2 linked regions of the Mus musculus genome follow. The protein of the gene in region 2 interacts with the protein of the main gene of each other region in a pairwise test. Links are inferred from orthologs where the notes say so. Each region holds a gene or a part of one and is shown on either strand. Other genes may lie near its edges.

Region 1 (4,359 bases), on a different chromosome or scaffold from region 2:
GCCTCTCCTCCCATTGATGTCCGACTAGGCCATTCTCTGCTATATATGCAGCTAGAGCCATGAGTCCCACCATGTGGTTTCTTTGATTGGTGATTTAGTCCCAGGAAGCTCTGGGGAGTACTGGCTAGTTCATATAATTGTTTCTCCTATGGGGCTGCAAACCCCTTCAGCTCCTTGGGTCCTTTCTCCAGCTCCTTCATTGGGGACCCTGTGCTTCGCATCCAATAGATGGCTGTGAGCATCCACTTCTGTATTTGTCAAGCACTGGGAGAGCCTTTCAGGAGACAGCGTTATCAGGCTCCTGCCAGCAAGCTCTTGTTGGCATCCGCAATCGTGTCTGGGTTTGGTGGTTGTTTATGGGATGGATCCCCAGGTGGGGCAGTCTCTGGATGGTCATTCCTTTAGTCTCTACTCCAAACTTTGTCCCTGTAACTCATTTTTTATTGTTTTGTTTTGTTGAAACAGGGTTTCTCTGTGTAGCCCTGGCTGTCCTGGAACTCACTTTGTAGACCAGGCTGGCCTCGAACTCATGAATATATTTCTTAATGATTAATTTTTAATATTTTATGCTCTTTTACTATGCTTAACTCCCAAAGAATATTTTGCATGTTTTGAAACAATTTAGTATTCAACATTAGATATAGGATCCTCAGTTATGGATAGTATTAAATATTCATTAATGATATTTTAGGGTATGAAAGGATATGAATATAAAAGTTGAAAAAAATTTATGGATTATTTGATTCTCAAAGTACTCAACATTATTAATATGTTTGATGTATAAAATGCATTTAAATAATAAAAAATTAAGAAAAAAAGTAAACAAAAAGTTTTGAAATAATCACAAAATAGAAAAAACTTTTTTGCTTAGTTATTTTATTCCAAACAAGGAGCCCTATTCCACAAATTACCTCTACATTGTTCCTCTTTTCATACACACGTTTTTTTTCTTACGTTTTGGAGACACTGTCTTACACAACCCAGGGTAGTTTTGAACTCCTTACACAAGAGAGGAGGATGTCCTTGAACTCCTGATTCTTCTGTGTCTCCATTTCCCAAGTGCTATATATTTGGCAATATATTATTAAACGTCTTTCAAGTCAACCATTTAAGCATATTTTATTCTTTTAAACTAACTTTAGTGGACACCTTCTTGCACAGACAGGCAAGTGCTTTAGCCCTTGGGCTCAATTGTGCCTAGCCACTGCCCTCCAGGTTTCAGAGCTGCTGCTGGCGTACAATGCATCTCCCACAGTTGCATACCGCCTCCCTCAGGTGGAAGAAGGTGATGAATAGAACCTGTCTCAGATGGGACCAGATGAAGGGCCCCTCCCTCGCAGGTTGATAAATGTCCCGAAGATCCTAGAGGCACACGGACCAAATGACTACATGCGATCAATTCTTGCTAACGTACTTGCTGCCCAACAGGGGGCGACTGAGCACCAAGTCTTCCTTACAGCGCTTGCGCCTCAGACTCCGCTCTGCGCATGCGCAGCGCGGCTCTACACTGACGGAAGTTAGAAGATGGCGGCGTCCGCAGTCTGCCGAGCGGCCTGCTCCGGGACGCAAGTGCTACTTCGCACCCGCCGCTCGGTGAGGTGGCAGTGAGACGTTGGGCTGCAGGGCCCAGGGCTTTCGTACACAGATGAGGAGCAGGCTGTCTCAGCAGTGGCGGGTCGGAGTGGGGAGGTCGCGGGGGTCAGGGCCGTGGGAAGGTCATGGCGGAGGGCGGGGATGGTTATCTGCTCTGGCTTGGGTTTGAGAGCCGAGGTCCCAGAGGCTTGGCGAGCAGTTCTTGCAATGGTCGCCTTCTCCCTTTAGCCGGCCCTGCTGAGGTTACCTGCCTTGCGGGGTACCGCAACCTTCGCCCAGGCCCTCCAGAGCGTGCCGGAGACCCAGGTCAGCATCTTGGACAACGGGCTGCGTGTGGCCTCGGAGCAGTCCTCGCATGCTACCTGCACGGTAAGTGTGCGCCAGTCCTCTAGGTGAGGCCCGCCGTGTTGTCCCAGGTTGGGATGTGACCTTGGGCTCCAGTCTTACATGTTTTGGGTGGAGACTGGCTTACTGCCGGGGCTTATCCCTGTACCTGACTTCAACCCTGCCTTAACCCGGCAGCCAACATTATGGTGCTTGCCAAAGACGGGGCCGAATTCTCTCCTCCAGCTTTTCGTTCTACCTCCCCGAGAGAAGAGATTATTCTCTTGCCACGAAAAAGAATGAGATTTCACAGACTTTAGGTTATTTACAGAAAGACATCCAGGTCTGTTAGACTCACCACCTAGGCTATGTAATTTGTAGACGTAGCCAGGAATACACTTCAAGAAATGCCTCTGAAGGACGGGGAAGATGGCCCAGTGGGTAAAGAGCTTGGTACTCAAACATGGGTATCTGAATTTGGAGTCCTCAGTGTTGTGATTTAGGTCTAACACCAATACTCTGAGGGGTGGAGACTAGTGTGTCTAAGCCGGTCTTACTTTTACCTACACGAGTGGCTTACATGTGTGTATGTGCACCATGTCTGTACATAATGCCCTTGGAGGTTGGAAAAGGATATTAGAACCCCCAGAGGGCTGGTGAGATGGCTCAGTGGGTAAGAGCACCCGACTGCTCTTCCGAAGGTCCGGAGTTCAAATCCCAGCAACCACATGGTGGCTCACAACCACCCGTAATGAGATCTGATGCCCTCTTCTGGTGCGTCTGAAGACAGCTACAGTGTACTTACATATAATAAATAAATAAATAAATAAACAAATCTAAAAAAAAAAAAACAGAACTGGAGTTACAGGTGGTTGTGAGCCACCGTGAGGGTGCTGGGAATTGAACCTGGGTCCTGTGGAAGAGCGGTTCCTAACCCTACACAGTCTCACCATCCCACGTACACATACGTAAAAATAAAAATTTTTTTTCTCCTTTTTTTTTTTTTTTTTTTTCTTTTTTAAGATAGGGTTTCTCTGTGTCGTCCTGGCTGTCCTGGAGCTCACTCTGTAGAGCAGGCAGGCCTCGAACTCGGAGATCCATCTGCCTCTGCTCCCCAAGTGCTGGGAAGAAAGGCATGAGCCTCCAATGCCTAGCTCAGAAGTAAGGATTCTTAAAACAAAAAACAAAAGATTTAGAGTAATCAGAAAAAGCACCCAGTTTCCTCTGCCCTCCGCAGATATTTGTGTGGTGGAGTGTGCACACGCATGTATGTGTGGCACTTGCACACACGAAAGAAATGCCTCTGAAAGACTGGGAAATGTAACTTGGGTGGAGCCTTTGCCTACTGAGTGGAAAGCCATGAGCTTTATAGCACTGAAGGAAGACAAAGAGTACCTTTGAAGATTACAGTGAATTGGATGCTCTTTGGTTAGGAGGGCTGGCCGCTCTTGCACAGGACCAGATTTCAGTTCCCAGCACCTTTATTGGGCAACTTCTAACCACCTGTAACTCCAGCTCCAGGAGATCTGACACTTTCTTCTGGCTTCTCTGGGTACCTGTGTACGCTGGTACACAGAAACACAAATACTTTATTTAAAATTGCAAATTGGCCAGGAGAATTGACTCTGGTTTATAGTACTTGTTCTCTTTCAGAGGACCTGGCTTCAATTCCCAGCACCCACGCAGTGGCTCACAGCCAGCTGTAACTCCAGTCCCAAGGGATCCTGTACCCTCTATGGATCTGACCTCCATAGGCACGCATATACATACACGTAGGCAAAACACTCATCCACATAAAATAATGAATGTAGAAGTTGGAAATCTTCAAAATGGAGTCAAGAATTGAAATCTTTACTAGGTGTGTGAGAAAACTCCCAAGAACCAATCCTCCCAACACACTTAGTAGGGCTAAATTGTTTTGTTTTATAGTTTTTTAATACAGAGTTTCTCTATGTAGCCCTGGCACTCTAGTGTTCTGGCACTCTCTGTAGATCAGGTTAGCCTCAAACTCACAGAGATCTGCCTGCTCCTGATTCCTGAATGTTATGAGTAAAGGTGTGTGCACCACTGCCTGCCTAGGGTTATATGTTTTTGTTATCTGATTCTTTCCTTTTTCTAGGAACAAATAATGACTTGTGATATAATTGTTATCAAACATAGGATATGGCGGGAGGTAATTTCCTTGATGTGTGGAACCTACATGAGTAGACTCAGAACCTACTAATGAAGCTTAGGAAGTCCTGCTCTATTCCACAGGTGCTGTGGTACCGTGATTATGCTTCCATTACAAAGAAAGGATGGTTAAAAGTCAAAGGATACTGTGGGTTGTAGACTAAGATGATAGACTTAAGGTGAAGGTTTGGGGCTAGAGAGATGGCTCAGTGGTTAGAGGCACTGGCTGTGCAATCAGAAGAGCTGGAGTCCACAGCCCAGCGCTTAGGG
Region 2 (2,652 bases):
TTAGGATGGGGCTGGCTTCTCACAGCAGCTACTAGAAGACTGGCCTAGAGGGGACATCTGTCCCCGTTTCTGGTCCCAACTGGGCATTCAATGGCAGCAGGGACCTGGGAAGTTGCTTGTTAAGATTCAAGCTCACAGAGTCCGGCCTCCACATCCCCTGCCTCCTCCTTGCAGATCATAGTCCTTTTGCTCCAGGACATTAGCACACTTCATCCCTGGCATGACTGTGGCCTCCGGGAGGCAGGAGGCACACTTAGTGTTCTGTGCATCTCAGCAGAACAGACACACCACAAAGGGGAGGCAGGGCAAACATTTCCTATTCTTAGGGATCAGAGTCCTCAACTGAAAGGAATTTGCTCGGCCTTTGAAATCTGCTGGCTCAGCATCTCCTTGTTTGCCTGATTCCTAGGTCCACAGAGAGGCAGTCTTAGGGTGGCCAGGGGTTGGGGGTGGGGTTTCTGTTCAGGAGAGTGGGACAGTCTCATGTCCCCATCCCATCCCCCCACCTCCCACCACCACCCCTACCCCCCCACTACCACCACCACAACCTGGATTCTCATTTTCTCATCCTGGGGTGTGACCTTCAAACCTTCCTAACTGGACCCTGCCCCTTGCCCCAGGCCTTTCCGGGCCTCCAGGAATCGCAGAGTCAACCTTTCTCAAGGCTATCTACAAACTAGAATGCCTACCATGGCTTTAGCGTGGAAACCCAGCACTCAGGAAACTAAGGTAGGAGAATAGCCACTAATTCAAGGACAGCCTGGGCTACATGGTGACACCCTGTCTCAAGAAACAAACAAAAAAGCAAAACAACAAAACTGTCAAGTAAGACCTCCAGCTAAACATGCAGGACCCACACATAATCTCAACAATGCAGGCAGCCTGTTTAATTTAAACCATAATTACTGCTCAGAATAGTTTTCCCCCAGAGAATCACTATGGGCAGGTCCCATGGTGTCTTCACATGGTCTCAGGTGTCCTCAGAGAGTCTTGTAAGCCAAGGGGCCCCCAGGTGAGGTCTGCACCAGCTACTTACTAGCCGTGTGGCTTTGAACAAGGGATTGCTCTGTCAAAAATCAGTTTTCTAAGCTATAAACTGAGCCGCATCCCAAAACTATATTAAGTGATGGAATTTCCATCTTTCCAACTTGACATCTGAGTCTCAGTGCTCAGAGCATGGAAAGTCCAACCAATAAATGGGCTCGGGGCTAAATGTAGTGGCCCGTGCCTTTATTGCCTGCACTCAGGAGACAGAGGCCATCAGGTTCCTGCGAATTTGAGGCCAGCTTGGTCTTCATGAATGGCCTCAAGAATCGCTGTTGGCATGGTCTCCCTGCTGGGGCTAAGGGGTGGGTAGTGTGAGCCTTCAGCATGTATGTTCACACAGTACAACCTGTCTTGAATATCCTTTTGACTATGTAGCCTAGGCTAACCTCCAGCTCGCCATCTTCCTGCCTAAACTTCCTAGGTGCTAAGTCTAAGACTCCAAGGCCTGGGTTGGAGTACCAGTAATAGATCCTCCCAAAAACCCAGCCAAAGCAGGAGACCACAAAGGCAGGGGCTTGGGGGAGTGCCAAAGGTCACACGGATAACACACAAATGGCAGAATCTGGATTTGAAGACAGATCTGTCTAATGCCAGATGTCATGAGCTTTGGATCCACACATAATTTATTTTGTAACAATTATGTACCAGGCACTGTGCCAGACCCTGGATCCATCACAAAGTTGTCTGTGGAGCCAGGCATGGTGGGCACATGCCTTTTATCTCATCCCTCAGGAAGCAGAGATGGGCAGATAGATCTCTATGTGTTCCAGACCAGCTTGGTCTACTTAGACACTACTAAGACAGTCAGGGCTCCATAGAGAGACCTGTCAACACTGGCTGTGTAAATTTGACTTTTTTAACAGTTCCCCTCAGAACTCAAGAGGAACGCTGCCTTTCAAAGGTCAAACATGTAACATCACATCCTTTACCTGTCCCAAAGTCAATGGCCCTCAAGGCCTCTGCTATGTGTTCTAAGTCCAGAGTAAAGTAGTCCATGTTCTCAAAGCCTTGCTCTGTCTTCCCCAGCTGGCAGCCCTTGGAGGCTTCTACAATGCTGTGGGGAGAGAGGCAGGGTGAGGTCTCAGGGCTCCATGCAGGAAGGGACAGCTTAGCCTTGGCTCTATGTGGGTCCATCCATCCCAGCCCCACAATCCATCCCTGAAGTGAGGGAGTAAAGAGGCAGCGAGCATTTCTTCTTTAGGATCAAGCAGAGTGCATGTCTAAGAAAGTAGGGGACATGGTCTGGGAAGGGGGGAGGTGAGCCCCAATCCCTGCAGAACGGATGCACAGGGTCCTACTGGGCAGGTGTCAGAAGCCCTGGGGGACACTGACTAGGGACGTGGGACCCACTCCTGGGGACACTGACTAGGGACGTGGGACCCACTCCTGGGGACACTGACTAGGGACGAGGGACCCACTCCTGGGGACACTGACTAGGGACGAGGGACCCACTCCTGGGGACACTGACTAGGGACGAGGGACCCACTCCTGGGGACACTGACTAGGGACGAGGGACCCACTCCTGGGGACACTGACTAGGAACGAGGGACCCACTCCTGGGGACACTGACCTCTTGATGAGCTGCTTGGCACTCTGTGGAGAGAA

What was found. The genes of interacting proteins can lie anywhere in the genome.
Region 1: the proteins of Trim63 (region 2) and Uqcrc1 interact in a two-hybrid assay, tested with the Homo sapiens proteins (2 studies listed by BioGRID and IntAct). The link is inferred for Mus musculus from reciprocal best matches to the Homo sapiens genes TRIM63 and UQCRC1.

The regions. Positions count from the first base shown.
Region 1 is NC_000075.6:108,935,195-108,939,553, forward strand, and holds the start of Uqcrc1 (cytochrome b-c1 complex subunit 1, mitochondrial precursor), read left to right. Parts: upstream 1-1,453; 5' UTR 1,454-1,524; coding exon 1,525-1,593; intron 1,594-1,821; coding exon 1,822-1,962; intron 1,963-4,359. UniProt on the Homo sapiens protein: Component of the ubiquinol-cytochrome c oxidoreductase, a multisubunit transmembrane complex that is part of the mitochondrial electron transport chain which drives oxidative phosphorylation.
Region 2 is NC_000070.6:134,325,033-134,327,684, reverse strand, and holds part of Trim63 (E3 ubiquitin-protein ligase TRIM63), read right to left. Parts: intron 2,641-2,652; coding exon 2,618-2,640; intron 2,102-2,617; coding exon 1,977-2,101; coding exon of another isoform or gene 1,924-1,976; exon of another isoform or gene 1,656-1,923; intron 1-1,655. UniProt on the Homo sapiens protein: E3 ubiquitin ligase. Mediates the ubiquitination and subsequent proteasomal degradation of CKM, GMEB1 and HIBADH.